Ovis aries: one gene and its partners. The protein of the gene in region 2 interacts with the protein of the main gene of each other region in a pairwise test. Links are inferred from orthologs where the notes say so. Each region holds a gene or a part of one and is shown on either strand. Other genes may lie near its edges.

What was found. The genes of interacting proteins can lie anywhere in the genome.
Region 1: the proteins of LZTS2 (region 2) and MORF4L1 interact in binary tests that used the Homo sapiens proteins (3 or more experiments, as listed by UniProt). The two-hybrid records come from large-scale screens. The link is inferred for Ovis aries from reciprocal best matches to the Homo sapiens genes LZTS2 and MORF4L1.
Region 3: the proteins of LZTS2 (region 2) and FAM161A interact in binary tests that used the Homo sapiens proteins (3 or more experiments, as listed by UniProt). The two-hybrid records come from large-scale screens. The link is inferred for Ovis aries from reciprocal best matches to the Homo sapiens genes LZTS2 and FAM161A.
Region 4: the proteins of LZTS2 (region 2) and TRIM29 interact in binary tests that used the Homo sapiens proteins (3 or more experiments, as listed by UniProt). The two-hybrid records come from large-scale screens. The link is inferred for Ovis aries from reciprocal best matches to the Homo sapiens genes LZTS2 and TRIM29.

The regions. Positions count from the first base shown.
Region 1 is NC_056071.1:22,937,586-22,942,340, reverse strand, and holds the start of MORF4L1 (mortality factor 4-like protein 1), read right to left. Parts: upstream 3,380-4,755; 5' UTR 3,312-3,379; coding exon 3,272-3,311; intron 1-3,271. UniProt on the Homo sapiens protein: Component of the NuA4 histone acetyltransferase (HAT) complex which is involved in transcriptional activation of select genes principally by acetylation of nucleosomal histones H4 and H2A.
Region 2 is NC_056075.1:21,594,697-21,600,060, forward strand, and holds the start of LZTS2 (leucine zipper putative tumor suppressor 2), read left to right. Parts: upstream 1-2,088; 5' UTR 2,089-2,188; exon of another isoform or gene 2,189-2,458; intron 2,459-2,681; exon of another isoform or gene 2,682-4,487; intron 4,488-4,862; exon of another isoform or gene 4,863-4,963; intron 4,964-5,051; exon of another isoform or gene 5,052-5,228; intron 5,229-5,364. UniProt on the Homo sapiens protein: Negative regulator of katanin-mediated microtubule severing and release from the centrosome. Required for central spindle formation and the completion of cytokinesis.
Region 3 is NC_056056.1:46,300,783-46,305,616, reverse strand, and holds the start of FAM161A (protein FAM161A), read right to left. Parts: upstream 3,380-4,834; 5' UTR 3,295-3,379; coding exon 3,097-3,294; exon of another isoform or gene 3,090-3,096; intron 1-3,089. UniProt on the Homo sapiens protein: Involved in ciliogenesis.
Region 4 is NC_056068.1:30,424,921-30,429,569, forward strand, and holds the start of TRIM29 (tripartite motif-containing protein 29), read right to left. Parts: upstream 3,380-4,649; 5' UTR 3,212-3,379; coding exon 2,408-3,211; intron 1-2,407.

The DNA.
Region 1 (4,755 bases), on a different chromosome or scaffold from region 2:
GCACCAAAGATGGGAGACCAGTGCGCCTAATTTTAGTCTTTCTTTAAAGGCTCCCTGACAACAGCCTTACCACTGTCTCCCTCGTTTCGGTTGCTGCCACCAAAGACAACCACACTGAGGCTAAGGCCCTTTGACCTCCATTCTAGCTACCTATCCCTAATATCTCGCTGAAAAAAATATACATTAAGCTGAGGAATATGACCCAGCAAAACAAGTGCCTAATTTCTCCTGGAAGTGGAAAGACTGTTAATTGGGGAAGGAGCAAACCACTGTCTCACTTTTTCTGAACTTTTCCATCCTTAATCCTTAATAGTATTCAAAATGTAAAGCTAATTTTGCTCAATGCTGTCAAATTCAACAGTGATGAGATTCCAATTCCTCATCCTCTCATTGGTTTTCTTACTAGGAACACTACTCAAATTCCAGCATCAGCCACCCACCCTCCTGACAAGCCAAAAGGTCTTCCCCTCCCCACCCTACCCCCCACCACACGGGTTAGATGCCCAATAGTTTTCTTTACTTTTTGCTTTAACACTTCAAGTGGAAGAACCAAGTGCAGTGCAGAACAGTCACTGTGCTGAAAAAATGCTTGTAACATATGCTGCACCATTATTTAACAACAGAAATTTTCAAGTTTAAAAGAGAATCGGAAAAAAACTTTCCCATCATTCGTATTTTTACCGTCACATTAGCTCAATTCTTCTGCAGTGTTTTAATATAATTCTGCTAGTTCCTACAGAATATTCCTTTCTCCTTACAAGATATTCTCTTCTAAATAACTCAGTCTTGTCCAACTCTTTGCAATCCCATGGACTGTAACCCACCAGGCTCCTCTGTCCATGGAGATTTTCCACAAACACACTGGAGTGGAGCCTTTCCTTCTCCAGGGGCGCATCTCTACCCACGCAGAGAACCCTCAGCTCTCCCCTTCTCCTCCACTGGCAGATGGATTCTCTATCACTAGGGTCACCTGGGAATCCCCAAAATAATAATTTCTTAAAAGATGGTTATACAACCCAACTTTGACACAGGAGTAGAAAACACGTCTGCAAAGTGCAAAGACTCAGGTAGCTTTCAAAACCATAGCGCTACATTGGCTCCTTTTGCTGTTCAGTCGCTCGGTCGTGTCTGACTCTTTGCGACCCCATGGACTGCAGCACCGTCAGGCTTCCCTGTTCTTCACTATCTCACTATCTCCCAGAGTTTGCGCAAATTCATGTCCACTTACCTCTGTGATGCTATCTAACCAACTCATCCTCTGCCGCCCTCTTCTCCAATTCACTGCTACAGCAGCATATGGATCCTCCCTCACTCTACCATCCTTTCCAGTTTAGAACTAAAGCACTTCCTCCAGAAAGCCATCCTTAACTGTTCCAAGTCTGTGTCGTTTACCTTTGATGTCCTACAGTGAGGATAAATTTTTTTTGTGCAGTGGACCCTTCAGTCCGGTTAAGTCTTTGGGCCTTTTCTCAGAATGTTTCTACAAACATGTAAAACCGTACTACAAAAGAAACGAACTATATTGAGACAGTTATAAAAACACTTAAAACATCATGTGTTATGGTATTATATGAGCTCCTTAATTGATACAATAAACATTTAGCTGCTGATCCAGGAAACTACCACAATTCTGAAACAACGAAAAGCATACATCTGAATGTATCTTCTGCAACTTTAATGCTGGGATGTGAAAACATTACAGCTACTACTACTGTGGGAGGGTCTTGTTTTGCTTTTCTGTGGGGGAGGAAATCTACAGTCATAACTGTAGATTTAATTTTAGTTAGAAAATCGAAAAAAAACTCTTTCCTGTCCAAGTACAAGGGGTGTTCTGAATTATAAACACCCTAGATCAAGAATCCTTGCTCTAAAACATCTGATTTTTTAAAAGCAATGCAAGCAATTCACAGTAGTCGTCACGTAGCTTCTCAGAGTGAGAGAAAGCAGGTATTAAGAGCCAGTTACAGGGAAAACACCCGCGGCAATCTTTTAAATATTCCATTGTTACAATACGCTTGGATTTTGTGTGTATGACTCAAAGTAATTCTAACGCATATCAAAGTTTGAACATCCCTACAATTTTTTGCAGACGTCTCGACATCCGTGGTATCTAACACGTACAACCACAATAATGTGAATGAGCATTTTAAAGTGTTCTTGCTTGCCTTACATAATTTTATATCCACTTCAGTTTACTGTTAAACCTCCACTATATAAATTAACAGATGCAGTAATAGTGAAAATTACAGAGCTGTCTTCCTCTGGAAATCAGGCTCTCTACAGTCAGCCTTCACGTTGATCAGAGACAATAAAAACTCAACTTTCAAATCACTGTTAATCAATTATTGCAATTAACCAAACCACTGCCGTACTTAAAAGGCTGACATCAAGACAACGGGACTTCACATAAATGAGGTAGTAACACCGCATTAAAGCAGTTTTTCATTACTGCTTTACAAGCCACCGCGCAGCCAGAGCGCGTTCACGTTCCCATAGGACACCAACACTCCGCTTTTCCGAGAGCAAAGGGATGCCTTCGGGCGACACAAAGCCGAGTGAACGCTCGCGCTTTTCCCTCCTGTCCCCACCCACATCCCCGGGGCCAGCGCCGAAAAACCGGTTCCCGATCTGCGGCGGGGGAAGAAGGGGGCGCTCCTCTGCCCTAAAGCGGCGTCTGCGGCCGCGAGCCGTGGATCCAGGCGCCGGCGGCCATGATGGGCCCGCCATCTTGCAGCGGCCATCTTACAACGCAGTTCTCCCGCCCCGAGAAGCGAAGCCAACCCCCTCCAGCCGCGGCTCCGCGGCTCCACCGCGAGCTATCCGCTCGCGGCTGGAGGTCGCCGCGGAGCGCCAACCCTCGGACGCCCACGCGGACGGGAGCCCGAAACGGCCGCCGCCGCCTCCCCTCCCCCACGCCACATCACTTCCCCTAACGGCCGCCATGGCGCGCCCGCCGCCTCCCTACAATAGGCTACTTTCTCCGCGCCCTCTTCCTCTCAACGACAACAAACACAGCACCAAGGCTGTGCCACGAGGCAACGGCTCCCTCTCGCCTTCTAACGCCTGCCTAACGCTTTCGCCTCCCAAAGTGTTTTTATCCTCACGAAGCACAGAAAAACCTCGCCGCAATGCGCTTTCTCCGCACAAAGCCCTGCCCGCCGCCGCCTGGGGACACGGCCCTCGCCATCCCCAGTCCCCAAATCTCAACCGTCCCGAGACCGCCTCCCTCTCCGGGCCGTTAGATGCTTTGTCCCCAGGGGATCAAACTCACCCTCCTGGAATTTAGGCTTCGGGTCCTGCTTCGGCGCCATTTATAAAAGATTCACCGCCGCCGCCTCCTCCTTCTCCCACCACCCCTGACTACCGCCCCCTACTCTCTACCCCACCCAGCTCCGCGTCAGACGCGCCGTCAGGCACCGCCAACTCTACATCCTGGGCCCGATTTGCCAGCGCCCGCAGACCGCCCAGCACCGCGACCGGCCCAACTGCTGCTCCAGCCAACGGCTGCCCGCCGCGCACGCGCCCCTGCGCCCGCGCCGCCCCGGGGCACGCTGGGATTGGTAGTTCCGAGGCGTTGGAGGAGCCGAGGGGCGGGGGCGGGGCGGTGGCCTCCTCCCCTCCCCCACCCCTAACCCCCTGCCCCACCCCCATCCCCGGGGGCGGCGGCGTTTTTACTTCCTAGATTTGATTTTAAGTTGTTGTCGGAGTGAGGGACAGCAAGGCTTTGCCTAACCTGCACAAAAGAAGGGGAAAGACTGAGTTGCGGAGGTCCATGGGCAATATAGGGCCGCAACGATATGGGCTTGGGAATGGCCAGAGAGAAATGGCGGCCTCTGAAACCCCTTTTCAGTAGCATGTTGAGCAGTTTCTGCACAGGGAAGCTTCAGGGCCAGCAATCTTGGCTAGAAACGGGGTAGTTCATGGAGTCTGCGTCTGGATGTTTCCTCGTTCAGCAAGCTGGGTCCTGGGCCTCCCCTTCCCCACCCGAGACCTGCGGAAATGGCACGAAGCGGGCGACACGGGGCAGGCTGAGGGGTCGACCTCTGGCTTTTAGAGATGCTGGAGCTCGGCTTGCCGCCGAAAGAGGCGACCGTGAATAACACTACACCTACACCGTACCGACGTCGGGGTTCTGCACCTGCCCTACTTGTGCAATTTTTTGTCACCTAGTTGTTGTTAGGGCACAGTTAGTTGCTGTTACTGAATATACACGAGTCCGCCTGCAGTGCAGGAGACGCGGAAGGCGCAGGTTCGATCCCTGAGTCGGGAAGATCCCCTGGAGAAGGAAATAGCAACCCACCCCAGTATTCTTGCCTGGAGAATTCCACGGACAGAGGAGCCTGATGGGCTCCAGACCATGGGGTCCCAAAGACAGAGACTGAGCACTAACTATTGAATATACACAGGATTTAAAGGAATTTTCTCCCGTGGTTCACCTGTTCAAAAAGTCTGTCGTGTGCTTAGCTGCAAAATGGGGAGAATAAGGCCACCTTCCCATGGGTTTCCTGTGAGAATTGCACAGACAGGCTGAATGGTGAACTGGCGCTCAACATACAGTTAAGGAGGATACAACCCAAAGTCCTTACCTTGGCGTTTGAAGTCCTTGCACAAACAGCCCCCAACCGTCCCTCCAGGCTTTATACTTGTCGCCATGCCTTTCTAAATTCTGCCCCGCCCCGTGAACAGACTTGCACCCCATGAGTTCCAGATCCCTCTCCATTTATCTGACTCCAGTTTCTCCTTCAACCTTCCCTT
Region 2 (5,364 bases):
CTTGCCTGACCAGCTGTCCCTCTGTGACATGAGTCACTCAGTGGCCTCGCTCATTGTGGATTCAGGCTCAGCATACTCTTATCTGCTCCCCACCCACTTCCATTTCCCTCTCTTGTACCCTCTCCAGGTTTCTCTTATGTTAGTGTGTGTTAGAACTCGGTTTCTTGTTTAAAAATGCAGTCCCTAGGCCCTACTCTTCCCCGAATCCTGACACATGGGCATTTCTGATTCTGGAGGTTTCAGGAGAGGTTGCAGGACTCCTTGTTTTTAAGAAACTCTGAAGGAGATCGTAAAATAACTTATGCAGAAAGAGACCATGTCAGAAATATTGCTAAATGATAACACTTTCCCATGTCACTTCCTCAGATATTCTAAAGTCCGTTTCCCTTTAGATTTGCCTGCAAGAGTAGTGAGAATGCAAGATGTTCGAAGGGGGCTGGGGAGAAGCCTTTTGTTAAGGGGGGTATTTGATGGGGGGGGGGGGGTCCTGCTTCCTGGAAGCAAGGCTGCCTTTTCAAGCATTCCTTATCAACCTAAGAGGGAGGTCTGGAACCCTGTGGAATGGTTTGGGGTCTCTGGTCTGTTGTGTGTGAGAACTGTGACTACAATTGTTTCCTGAAACAGACCCTGGAACAAAGCTGTTCTCTAGGGGGAGGGAAGGGGGACCTCCTCCAGGGCCTCCCTTCTTGGGGGTCTCTCCCAGACTGGCTGGAGCCAGTCCTCCTAATCCTGCAGTAATCATTCCCAGCCGCTGGCTGGTCTAGGCCTCATCCAGGGTCTATAACGTTAAACGTCAGCCATGCCTTCCAGATGCACACTACCAGGTCAGTCCTACCTGTAAGGATGTGGGTTCCACATTCTGGTCTTCTGTGCTCAGGAAATCTTTCAGGGATTTCCAAAAGGAGACTTTTATGAGGTCTATGAATTGGGGATAGAGGGATAGATACACACTTGCCTGTCTTGCCCCACCCTTCTAGCAGACAGCCTACACAGCAAACCAGAATGGTAGGGAGGAGGGGAAGCTAATGATCCCCCAGCCCCACCCCTACACACACACACACATTCCATTACACACCTGTCTTAAACCCCTCACGTGAAAATTAGCCCAAAGTATTTCAAGAGCCCCTGGAGCCCAAAAAGTAGCAGTTAATCCCTGGGTCCTATGTAAGGTCCCTAGGAGTCACTGTTTCTATACCCCACCTAAGAGGATTGAGGCAAACTGCCTGGGCTAGAACCAGTACTCGGCCTGTGCCCAACTGGAATCTTCCTGAGAGCTGAGGGAGAGCCTGGCCCAGTAGAATCCAGCTGGATCTGCAGGCTTGTCCTCAGATTCTCTAACCCCCTTGCCTGTAAGGGGGCAGCTTTGGTCCTCCATCCCTTCACTGGGGATGGGTCTCAGAAGAGACTCAACTCAAAGGGCTCCTGCTGCCCAAGTACTCAGGCTGCAGATATGACCCAAATACCTGTAGACATCACGGTCTGCCCTCCCACAGGCTGCCTTGGGTGCCATGGAGGGAGGGACCCTTTGGTGCAATACAGGTCAACTTCCTGTTTGTGCCTGTGGGTGGAACTTTATAAGTCTAAGAGAAGCCTGACTACACTCTGGTGGGGGGCGGGGGGCAAAACTGGCAAGCCTGCTCACCGGGCAGACACCTACTCCAGGGGAGGGGGAGGTGTTGGTTCTGCTTGAGCAGCCCCAACCTCAGAGGTGTGTGAGGAAGGGTGGGGTCTGTTTCGGTGAAATCCGAGCCTTCTTCGTCTGCTTCCCAGGGGTTTTCCCTGTGTCTGGGGAGTGGGCTGAGAGTGGACCAGGCTGGGCTCCCTACAGACCAGAGGATAGTGGCAGTAAAGCCCTATAGCCAACTTGGTTAGGGCAGCCAGGTAGCTTAGCTTAGCTGTGGCGCCGCTGGCCCCTTCCTAGATCGAAAGCCAGTTCCAGAAGCTGCGAAGTCAGAAGTCCGAGGGGCAGTCTTGGGCCACCGTCGCAACACTGCTTGGCAGGGTACCAGATCTGCTGCTGAGGGGGTGCTGGGCAGACCACTCCCCTGCCTTGGTCGGGGGCGCGGCCTCAGCCGCCCCGCCCCCTCCACCAAGCCCGGGCCGAGCGCGCTGGGGAGCCGGCGGATCTGCGACCAGGAGGTGCCGGCCCTGGGTCAGGAGCCCAGCGGGAGCTGGAACGGCGGTTAAGGTAGCGCTGGGTGAGTGAGTGGGGGCGCCGCGGCGGTGTAGGAACTCTCGCCTCCTGCACACCCCCGCCCCGGAGTGAAATTTCCCGATCCCGGGAAGCCGGGGATTGGGGTGAAGAGACGGGTCCTCAGTCCAGGGGCCGCGGGCGAAGAGTCTGAACAGGGAACCTACACGAAAACTCACACCGACGGGCGCACACACGCGTGCACACAGACCCACGCGCGTACTGGAGACACCTGAATACACGTGCACTGCGGGGCGGACGCGCCTAGTGAGTTTCGCTTGCTGTTGGCGGATCAGCGCCGCTGGCCCGCGCGGACCCCCAGCGGGCAGGGTGTGCTGCCGTCGCGTACTTGGTGAGGGTGGGAGAAAAGGGCCTCCCAGTGACCGCGGACGGGGGCGGGCCAGGTGGGACGCCTCCGGAGGTTCCGGCTTCCTTGCTGCCCGCAGGTGAAGACTAAGACGTAAACAGGCGTTGAGCACGTGATCGCTTCGCAGACCCGTGGGCTGTACGGGGGGAGCCTCGCGGCGGGAACCTCCCTCCGCAGTACTAAGCGAGTTTGAAAGATACATTGCCGGGCTGTATTCCATTCTCCCCTTGGAGGGGATAAGCCCTTCCCCAGGAATGGGAGCACAACGCCCCCCGGAGTTGGGGTAGCGAAGGAGGACAACAGACTGTTGGACTGAGAGGGTTGGTTACCTGGGCTCCTCACCTTCCTTCTCCGGAACATGTTGCCCCCATTCCTGAAGATACCCGAGAGGGGGGCAATTCTGGCAGTGTACAGCAGCCTCCGCCGGGACCTCCAGCCCCGGGGAGCATCTGCGCGAACGCCTGTGGGTCCCCTTTCTTACTACACTCCTCCTTGCGGCACTGGGAGCTCCTCCCCTCAAAGTAGGAGCAGAAAGCCCACTCACGCAAGAGTAGGAGTCCCCCTTCCCCAGAGAATGCATGACCGTACACATCCTCTCTATACCAGAGTGGGCCCGTCTCCCTCTGGTAGAAGGGAGCACGGCCCCCTCCCCCCAGCGAATGAGAGTGGGCAGCGGCCCTCGGCCTCCCTCTCCACCACCCTCCCTACCCCTCCACACACGCTGAGCCCAGCTGCTGCCTGAGCTTCTGGGCAGGCTGCCAGAAAGGGGAGGAGGCTCCTGGTGCCCCAGGAGGCTGGGATCAGGGCAAGGCCAGAAGAGGGGGTCTCTATGGGGGTGGGGCTCAGTCTGTACTTGTGAGGCAAGAGGGTCTAGGGTGAGCCTGAGGGTGGCTGGGCTATGTTTCCCTTTCCAGGGAAAAAGAAAGAAAACAACTCTTTCCATGGAGCTAAAAATAGAACTGAGAGCCGGCCAGGCTGCGGCCTGGAAGGGGGGGGCGGGGCGGGGGGAATGCTCCTTCCTGGGGCAGAGGAGCTCTGGCAGGCCTTAGTTCTGGGGGGCGGGGTTAGGGGGCAGGAGGCTGTCCTTGCCCAGGGATGCGGGCATCAGCTGACCTGGTTAGGTCACAGAAACCCCTATGGGAAAGTCTGTGTGATAAAATGTTTGTGAAATACGACGTGTATGTTTAAAAAGTTGTCTTTGTGACTGTGAAAAAGACTGTCATAGTGTGAAAAAAGCTTGGGAGGCAAGTATAGTCAAGACTGTGACTGGGTGCAAAGGAACTTGAGCTGTGAAAGCTTGTGCACAACTAGCCGTGATACCAAGTGTGTATCTCTGAGTTGGCCTGATTATGGCAAGAAGGGACATGGATCCTTCTGATGGACCAGACAGACTGAGTGATTGTGTCTGAGACTGAGTGTGGGAAAGGTCGTGTGGGTGTTTAGATTGTGTTGTTTGCCAGAGGGTGAGAGTATTCTTGACCCTGAGAAGACAGTGGAACGTTGTCTGCTGTGAGGCTGGCGTAAGCTTGGCCTGTAGGTTTGGACCAGCTCCCCCACTGGGGTGACTTTTGGGGGCCCAGGGGACGTCTCTCTCTTGAGCATTTACCTCTTAGCAAATGAGTCTGAGGGAAGGTTGGGGAGCAAAGAACCGCGCTCGAGGAAGGCCGGGGCTCTCCCGAGAGGGAGTACAGCACTGGGGAGAAGGGTAGGGGCCCCCCAAGTTTGGGGGTGGCTGTGTTCTCCGAACGGGCCGCCAGGTGGCGCCGCCTCCGCAAATCCTAGCGTGCCTTCTGCAAGCGGCTGGGGGTGGGGCAGGCACCCACCAAGCGTCGGCCCCCGACTTGTGCCAGGACGCAGGGCCAAGACTTGGGGGTTAGGTGACCCCCAACCTCCTTCTCTGGACTCTGAAGCCGGAGAGTGTGCCTAGGGGTGAGGCATCGACTAGAGGAGCGGAGGGGGAAGGGCGGCTGCCGCGGCGCCTGGCCCTTTGTGCTCGAACAATGACCAGCTGCCGCTGGCCCCGGGGCCCAAGTAAGGGTAAAGGGTGACCCGCCACCGCCTAGTCCTGAACCGACCGAGCCCCAGACACACAGCCATCGCTCCTCGGAGGGAGGGAATCTGAGTCCTGCTGCGTAGCTCCAGCGTGCGCCCCGCCGGACACGCGTGACGCCGGGTGCCTGCGCGTGTCCGCGCCCCGGGGGCGGGGTCACCCCTCGGACCCTCCCCCGCGCTGCACCGCCCACTTGGGCCGGGCGGGGGCCAGGCCGGGCTGGGGGCGCCGCGGAGGCGGGGCCGGGTCGGACCGGGCCGCTCCGAGTGGCGGCGCGCGGCAGGCTGGAGCCGCGCGGCGCGCCTGTGGAGCGCTGGGGGCGGCCCGGGGCTGAGCATGGAGCGGCGCGGTGGAGGTGAGGGGGGGGCCGGGGCTGGGAGGCGACCTGGGGGCGCCCCCAACTTCTGCGCGGCGGAGGTCCCGTGGGGAGGCGGCATTCCACAGCTGCCCCCACTTTCTGGAAGAGGCGGAAGGAGGGGGGTGAACTCCGGAGGGCGGATTGGGGGCTCCCGGCTTCCTGTCTTGTAATGGAAACTCGTGATCTCAGACTTGATCCCGCTGGATGGTCCTGGAGTTTGGTGAGGGGGAGACTTTCCCGAACTCCTCTGCCCCCGAAACAGGTCTGTGGGAAACTCGGACCTCGGCCAGACCTCCCTCGGGCCCCGGCTGCATCCAGCCCTCAACCGCCCCCGGCCCACCGAGCCGGGCAGTGTGTGCTGTGCCAGAGCGGTTTCCCAAGGATGTTGGGGAGTGCGA
Region 3 (4,834 bases), on a different chromosome or scaffold from region 2:
ACAAAGCAAGACCTGTGAACTGATATCTCCAACTGAGGCTAGATTCAAAAAATATGCCTTAATGCCCTTATATGGGCACAGAGTCCTGCAAGGGGTGTATATGGAGCCATGGAGGCTTGGGAGAAGTGCCTTTGGCAAGCCAAAGGATTTAAAGGGGCCTACTATGACAGTAGATGGGGAAACAGTGGAAACAGTGGCAGACTTTATTTTGGGGCTCCAAAATCACTGTAGATGGTGACTGCCGCCAAGAAATTAAAAGACGCTTACTCCTTGGAAGGAAAGTTATGACCAACCTAGACAGCATATTAAAAAGCAGAGACACTACTTAGCCAACAAAGGTCCATCTAGTCAAGACTATGGTTTTTCCAGTAGTCATGTATGGATGTGAGAATTGGACTATAAAGAAAGCCGAGTGCCGAAGAATTTATGCTTTTGAACTGTGGTGTTGGTGAAGACTTTTGAAAGTTCCTTGGACTGCAAGGAGATCCAACCAGTCCAACCTAGAGGAGATCAGTCCTGAGTGTTCATTGGAAGGACTGATGTTGAAATTCCAATACTCTGGCCACCTGATGTGAAGAACTGACTTACTTGAAAAGACCCTGATGCTGGGAAAGATTGAAGGTGGGGGGAGAAGGGGATGACAGAGGATGGGATGGTTGGATGGCATCACCAACTCAATGGACATGAGTTTGGGTAGACTACGGGAGTTGGTGATGGTCAGGGAGGCCTGGTGCGCTGCAGTCCATGGGTTGGAAAGAGTCAGACATGACTGAGCAACTGAACCGAACTATGACAGTTAGTTCTACATAATCAATTTTGTGTGATGGCTATGGTAAGCTGAGTTAACTCCATTTTATAGACGACAAAGTTGAGAGAAACTAGCGTTTAAAAATCAAGGTGAGATATCAAGCCAAACTGTGAGGAAGGTAAAGCTTGTCTGCTGCACTTTCTTTCTTGCCTTTCCAGTGCTTTGTCTGCCCACCCCAGTGTCTCCATCAGGTCTACTGCTATGTGCTGCACGCTAAGTCACTTCAGTCGTGTCAGACTCTTCGACCCTATGGACTGTAGCCTGCCAGGCTCCTCTGTCCATGGGATTTTCCTGGCGAGGATACTGGAATGGGTTCCATTCCCTTCTTCAAGGGATCTTCCTGACTCAGGGATCAAATCCACGTCTCTTACATCTCTTGCACTGGCAGGCAGGGGGTTCTTTACCACTACTACAGTGGCAGCTGATCCAGATTTCCTTTTGGTTCCTTTAAGTACTGTGGTCTCAGAATAGCGTTAAACTTAGCTTCCTTTTTTCTTTTTTAGTGAGACACTGTCCCTTAGAAACTAGCTTATTAGATAAACTGATCTCTCCTAAGGTAATATTTCTAATACAAATTTGCAATTTTACAGGGTACTCTGGAAGTATACTTGCAACCACAGAAATGACTGACTTTTCCACTACAGCAAGCCAGAAGAGAACTTAATCTCCTGTTCTCTTTTGGATAGGTGTTCAAATAACAGCCCCACTGGCAGCTGTTATTATTATTACTAATTTATACAAACTGTCTTTTAGCTATGACATATGCTCTTATTTCGTTCTCATAATACCCCAGTGAGAAAAGAAAGACAGTTATTTTAGAGCTCTTTTATAGATAAGGAAACAAACTGAAAGAAGTTACATCTTAATATTAACTAGCAAATGAACAGATCCTAACCCAGGACTCCAAATTCTTCTCTTCATTCAAATCATTTTTCAACATCAGTCCACCTCCTTCATTGGGTATTGAAATTTGAAGCTTTATCATGAATGAATTTGGTTGTAGGTCACTCATTCTGGTTGAAGTTCAGGGTCTTTGAATCTGCTTTACTCTGGATAACCTCAAGCAGTTTATCTGTTGGTAAAATACTGCCCATAAAAGGTGTTACTACAGATTTTCTCATTACCATTTCTAGTGCAGATTAAAGAAATTAGAATTCCAAAATATCCAGTGATTTCTAATAGCCTTAGACCACAAGATCCCCTGGAGAAGGGAAAGGCTGTCCACTCCAGTATTCTGGCCTGGAGAATTCCATGGACTGTATAGTCCATGGGGGTTGCAAAGAGTTGGACATGACTGAGTGACTTTCACTAGACTACATGTTTTTAACCTAAGATGCTTTGAGCAAACAGTATTAAGAATTTGGGGGGACTTCTCTGCTGGTTAAGACTCTGCACTCCCAATGCAAGGGCCTTGGGTTCCATCCCTGGTCAGGGAAGTAGATTCTGCATGCCACAACTAAAGAATCCACACAAAGGTTGCATGGAGGCAACTGAGTCTCAGCACAGCCAAATAAATAAATATTAAAAATAACAAAAGAATCTTTACCTGGGGTTAAGAAGGTTTATACCTGCAGATTGCTGGTTAAAATTCAAAGTTCTCATCTTTTAAGGGAATAGAGCAGATGGCAGACTTGGCCCCCTACCTGGCAGACAGGTGTTCACAAAACACTCGACACTGAAAATCGATCTGTGAAAAAGCTGTTTCTCCTCACTCTGAAGAGCCGTGTGGCAACACTGGAGCCTCAGTAATTTGCTTCTCTGGAGGCTTAACTCTGTTTCTGATCTCCCCACTAAACTCCTGCTGGTTTTAACCATCATCTCTCATGTATTGTATTAAGACGCACTAATAACCAAGACATTGAAGTGACAACAAAACACACCTGACAACACAGCTGATTCACTTGCGTTTTTTGGATTATTCTCTGTAGGACAGCACAGTTTTCCTCGAGTTGAAAGGAAAAAGAAAAAAAAAGAAAAGAAAAGAAAATACCTACTCCCAACAGTTGCTGGAGCATAAGAATAAATTTCTGTACTTTTCATTAGAAATAGCGTAACGTAAATGCCCTCCAAGAAATTTTTACAACAACCTCTTTGGTTAAAAGACTTTTCAACGCCTCGGTTTCGAGCATTTTCCGTGAGGACCCAGAGGACTTGGTGGGCCAGGCTCACCTGTACGGGTCAGGACAGGGTTCGCATTTCCCAGCCCGCGCCTCACCACCGGGGGTCGCCGATCAGCCTCCAATTGCACCCGGCGCCCAGCCCCACCCCACTGCCCTCCCCTGCATTACCGGCGCCCGCGCCAGCCGTGCCGCCGCCTCTTTCTCTTCTTCTTCTTCCTCCTCTTCCTCCATGGCCGCCGCCGCCGCCGACAGGGAATTCAAAGGGTCTTTGCGTTCGTACTGGGCGACCCGCGCTCCGGTGTTGGGATTGACCGGGGTTTGGAGACTTCTGGCCGCCAACTTCGCCGCTCGGTGCGAAGCAGCCATCACCGCGCCGCCGAGGCCTGAGCGCCCGCGCTGGCCCGGGGCGGGGAAGCCGGCGTGGCCGCAGGCGCCCGATTGCTCTTTGCTTAGGGTGGTGGTTACTAGGGGCCCGGTAACTAGGGACGCTACAGGGGCCGCGAGGGGCCAAAAATCACTTAAAACCGGCGCCCGCCGCGGGGCCCCTTGGATAGTGGGAGTCAGTATTGAGTCTTTGCTGGTTTAGAGGATTGGTCGGGGGAATAGGGCACCTGGTCCCTCTTCTTCGCATTTCACCCCCTAAATGCAGACTTCTCACATTACACTAATGAAACGATTTGTGCTGTGGGGCTTTTTATTCATTGAAATAATATGTTTGGAGGAGGTGGCGGCGGCAGAAGAAAGCAGGGCGTGTTATCGTGTCGCGGTCTCGGGACAATGGTAACGTTTGCATCCCGCGACCTAACATGGCTCTCCAGCGAGCCGGAGAATGGGAAGCCGTGAGTTACTTTCTACCCTGACTTGAAAGCTAACGGAAGTCGACCAATCTGGAGGAAGGTGGAGCCTGGTCCACCCACCAGTGACTGAGAGTGCAGGTGTGTGTGACCCGAACGTTTGCTGCTTGGGTTCCTCCGCTTTATAGTGGTGGGGATCGGAAGGTGTAAACGCCCACCAGTAGCCACAAACAAGCCTCATCTCCACCTCACCCCCAACAACGTCTCCCACTTGGGATTTGGGCGCTTCAGATGACGCCTTGCCGCTACACCAAGCGCCTGTAAAAGAAGCCTAGCCTTAAAATATCAGGCGTGGTGGTGGTGCTGCTGCTGATGATGCTAAGTCGCTTCGTGGTGCAGTGTCAGCCAAACCCCTACTTCCTGAGGCTGAGGCCCCAGCCACCCCCCACTCCTGGCCCTACAACCTGCTGTCACCACCACAAAGTTAGGGTACGCAACGCGCAATATCCAGACCCCTTCTCTGAAGTCTGAACCAAGTATTTCTTCCATCAGGAATGTAAACACTTGCGAAACACCCTACTCCCTCACCTTTCTGCAGGCTGCTCTTTGTTTTGGCTGAGGATTTGCTTTGACCACTGGAACAGACACCGGCTGGATTCTTAGCCAAAGCTAGAGTTGGAAGCCCATGAGGTATGGACGCTGCAAATGACCACAGAAGGGACGTCCAGGCGTTTGCATGCAGCGAGTTCTGTGGCTGCACGTAACCCTCTTGTGATTTGACCCCGACCCCAAATCAGCATGCTGAAACACTGAAAATAGAACATTAGAAGAGAGTGGAAAAGAAGCAGTAAGTGTGGAGGACATATTGTATGTGTATGTAGAAGAGCAAAAAAGCTTCCACTCGTGAGCAATATTCTAAATTTGCAGTTATCTTTTAAACTGTTTTTACTGAAAAATAGTTGATTTACAATGTTGTGTTAGTTTATGTACAGCAAAGTGATTCAGTTATATATACATAAATTTGCAGATATCTAATAATATAGCCTCAAAATATATAGAGCAGAAATGGACAGATCTACAAGAAGAAAATGACAAATCTTATCATCGTAGGA
Region 4 (4,649 bases), on a different chromosome or scaffold from region 2:
CTCCTGAATCCCATCCCCCTTCCCCCAGTTGCTCTCAAACACTGGAAGAGGACTCAGGGGGCTTCTTCCTTAAGCACTGAGCCTGGACATGTCCCTTCCTTCCTCTGGGTCTGTGTTCCCATGCAAGGTGGAGAGGAGATGGCAAGGTTGCTCATTCTCCATCCAGCCTAGCATTCTGTCCTCTGCAAGTTGATGTTTACTTACAGCCGCTGCTGTGTAACTAGGCGGATGCACCCCAGACTGGTCTGTGCGTCTGAGCTCTGCCTCTTGACCTACATCACGAGCCCTAGAGCATGAACACCAAGTCCCAGGTGTTGCCAGAGAAAACTGCCCAAGACTGTCCTGTCCTCTGGGGCACTCAGGCTTTTCTTAAGTGGAGATACCCTGGTTTCAAATAAAATTTGGAACCAAGCCCTACACATATAACAGATAAATAAGAGTTGTTGCTGTTCAGTCACTAAGTCGTGTCCAACTCTTCTGTGACCCCATGGACTGTAGCCCACCAGGCTCTGCTTCCATGGGATTCTCCAGGCAACACTACTGGAGTGGGTAGGTGCTGGAAAATCCCATGGACAGAAGAGCCTGGCAGTCTGCTTACAGAGGGTTGCAAAGATTCAGACATGACTGAGCGCCAGCATGGCACAGCTGCTTGCAGTAGCGATAGGAGCCTGCAGCCCTGCCTTCTGGGCGTCAGTTTGCCCCCCTCCTCATCCCTGAGGTCTCAGAGATATTCCTAAGAATCTTCAGGCTCCAGGGGGTCATTTGAAAACTTCCAATCTAGTCCAGTCCCTTAGTTTCATGTGAAGAGAAACCAAGGCTGAGAGAACATAAGGGACTTGTCCACTGTCTTAGAGCTGGTTCGAGGAAAAACTAGAACTGGAGCTGCGTCTCCTAAAACCCAGCCTGGGGCTCTGCAATTTCTTGGTTGTGGTGGTTGAGGATAATTACCTGCAATCTGTTTTGATTCCCTAAGTGAGACCCTGGAGGAGATCCATGGCCCCTGCTCCAGCTCCATCTCCCTGTCTGAAGCCTGAAGCCAGGCTGGGGTCAGGGAGTTAGGGAGACTAGGACCACCTTTCTTTCCTGGGCTAAATGAGGCTCCTGAAAAGGCTCTTTGAGCCTTTTGTCATCTCTGACTCGTCTCTCCTGCCCAGGAGTATGGATAGGAAAGAGTGACCCACAGACTTCAGGTCAGGAGGGCTGGGCACAGAGGGGGGCCTGTGCTGCCCCATTCTGTGGGGTGCAGAAAGCAGAGTCCCCTGCCTTGACAATGAGCATGGCTGACCCCAGCTGGAGGACGCACCACATCAGGGGGCTGTGTTGTTGTAGAGGGAGGAGTCCCAGTATCTGTACAGCCACAGACGAGCCCTTATCCCAGCACATCCTCTCCAGGAGTAAGGCGTACCACATTCACAAGCCTCCACACGCCTCTGCTCCTCCCCGCAGAAGCACAGGCAGAATCACGCACACAGAACACATGCGAACACACTCACATGCCACATAGACAGTCACATGCAAGCATCCATACACAGACATAAGCACCCACGTGCACAGAAAACACACACACGCACACACATGTACACCCCTCCCCCCGACTCCAACCGCCACGAGTGTCCACCTACAGGCAACGGCCACACACACAAAGCACTGAGCGTCCAGCTGAGGGAAGGATAAAGGAGGCTGCTGGGAGTGTCAAGACTGGCTAGGGGATCAGACAGAACAAGAAGGAGCCACTGCCTACAGAGACCAACTCCGAGGTCAGGGGAGAAAGGGCCTTGACGTGGTCCCCAAATTCCCTCCTCCTTACCCATGACTTATCCCCACGAGCCAGTCCTCCTCAACTAGGAAGAATTCTCTCTCCATTAAGTAGAAAGAGGTGGCTTTCCCAGTGGCTCTGATAGTAAAGATTCTGCCTGCAAGGCAGAAGACTGGGTTTGACTCTTGCGTGGGGAAGATCCCCTGGAGAAGGAAATGGCAACCCACTCCAGTATTCTTGCCTGGATAATTCCATGGATAGAGGAGCCTGGTGGGCTACAGTCCATGGAGTCACAAAGAGTTGGACACGACTGAGTGACTTAGCACCGAAGTAGAAAGGAAGGAAGAAGCACCCAGCCAGGCAGAGAGCCCAGGAAGGAATGCTGATCTCCTGGCCTGACTTGAACTTGTCCTATGACCTTGGCCAAGCCCCCCATCTTTGCTGAGCCCCTCTTTGCTCATTTAGGAGATGACTTGACTCCTGAGGCCTTAGAGGATAGGGGAACCATCTCTGACTCCCAGTCTGGGGGTAGGAGGGGAAAGGACTGTTTTCTGAAAGAACCAGGAACAGCAGAGAGGTAAGCCCCAGACCCTGGGAGCGGCCGTGGAGCAGGTGCGGTGGGAGGGCACTGCGAGGGCGGCCAGCTCTTACCTCCTTCTCGGCCTTGGCCTCTTCCACGGTCACGGTGCTGTGGTTCTTGTGCTCCTGGAACATGCAGAGGTAGCAGATACAGGTCTGGTCGGTCTGGCAGAAGAGCTCCATAGTCTTGCCGTGCAGGGGGCACTTGCGGGCCTCGAAGTCCCGGATGGGCTCGAGCAGCTGGTGGTCGCGGAAGGCGGCGCCCTCCAGGTGGGGCTTGAGGTGCAGCTCGCAGAAGGAGGCCTGGCACACCAGGCAGGACTTGACGGCCTTCTGCTTGTTGCCGATGCACGAGTCGCACAGGACCTCCTCGGAGCCCGACTTGGAGCGCAGGAGGGTGCTGGAGTCGCCCCGGGGGTAGCTGTTCCGCCGGACATCTCCGGGCTCCAGGATGGACACCGAGGGCTTCCGAGGCTCCGAGAACATAGACCTGCGCGGCTCCCCCTTCTCGGCAAAGGAGACAGGCGGCTTCTTGGCAGCCCCCAGCTGGAGCCCGGCGTAGGGCGACCTCCTGCCTTCCCCAGAGTCCATGCTGAAGTAGCTGGAGCCCTTGTCATCCACCGACTCGACAAACTGGATAATGGGCCGCCGCCACTCGCTGCCGGAGAACAGGGAGCTCCTGCCTTCGCCCGGCTTCAGGGCGCCGCCTGCGCCCTTGCCCTCGGCCACCTCCCCGCCGTGCCCATTGGCAGTCTTAGCCTCTTTGTCTTCAGCTTTGACCCCATTCTCCAGGCTGCCACTGGGGCTCAGGGGGCTGCGGACATCCCTGACTTCAGGGCTGGCCCCGTTGCTCCTGGAGGCGTCTGCAGCTTCCATCGCGGCTCACCTGGCTGGTCTTTGAACGCGCTGGGGGTTCAGGTGGGTGACCTCTCGGGCAGCGGCGTCTCTGCAAGAGTGAGACAGGCAGCCACGGAGCCCGAGACACACCTACCGGGAGCCAAGAGGAGGGCCTGACACAACGGGCGGGCAGGAGAGGCAGGCGGCTCCCAGAGCCAGCAGAGCAGCTAATTATACAGAGGGGCCACGCCCTGCACATTCATACCTAACCTGGTTTTTTAAAGAAGTGTTTTTATTCTTCCCCAGTTTAATTATTTTCCACAGCTCAGCAACCAGTTGCTGCTTCCTTCTGATACACTTTCTTCTCATCAGGAAAGCGGGAGCCTCTGTCCTCGCAGGTGGGCAGGCTTCGCTGAGCCAAGCCAGCCGTGGGACAGAAGGTGAGGTGTCCACAGAGGCCCACAGGACTCAGGGCTATTTAACTGGGTCACACAAGCCAAATAATCTTGAAACGTGATGGCCTGGGTTTCAGAGGAATATCCCCCTGCCGCCCTGAGACACTGGAGTTGCTTCTTATCTTTTTTTTTTTTTTTAATTTCCATCAAAAAGTTTAGTACTTTTTTAAATTAGAGGATAATTGTTTTACAATATTGTGTTTGACTTCCTGTCTTAAAAGGAATGGTGGGTTCCACTTGATTTGGAGCTAAAATTTCAACCGAAGGCCTTTGAGAACCAACAGCCACCTGACTATCTCAACGGAAGACAGATTCAGGAAGTCACGTCCCACCCAGCAGCCCTAACAAGATGCTTACGGCTTTATGTTATTTCTATCAGAGCAAGTTAGAACCTGCTTGGATCCAAGGGACAGGGAGACAGCAGTGAGGGACAGAAACGCAAGCAGTGCCAGGCCAGGCGGCAGCGTCCTCAGGGCCCCCACCAAGGGAAGGGCTGTGCCTCTCCCCGGCCGGGCTGGACTGGACAGAGCAGAGGTGGGAGTGGCTGGGGTGGCAGGTTCCAGGCTGTGTGTAGGGGAGTGGGTTTCCTTCCCCTCGAATCCAGGTCAAACTCTGGGAGCCCCCGCCCCTTTGGCTCACCAGGCCGAACAGCTAATCCTCTGCAGCAACAGCTCCTGGGAACGAGAGCAGAGACAAGCTTAGCTCCCCAAGCAGCCAGAGTTTTAAGAGGAGGTGTGGGGGCGGAGAGTGCTGCTTCATCAGGGGGATTCCCTCTCACCTTGTGTCTCCGTTCTCAGGCTCCACAGGAGCCCCGACTCGTTTGAACTCACTGGTGAGTGGTCTAAGAGTTCGTGGGGGCTCCTGGGGGCAGGAAACACTTTCTCAAAAAGTCTTGCTCAGGACTTCTTTGGTGGACCAGTGGCTGAGACTCCGCACTCCCAAGGCAGGGGACCCAGGTTTTACCCCTGGTCAGGGAACTGGATCCCACATGCCACAAAACTAAAGATCCCAAATGCCACAAC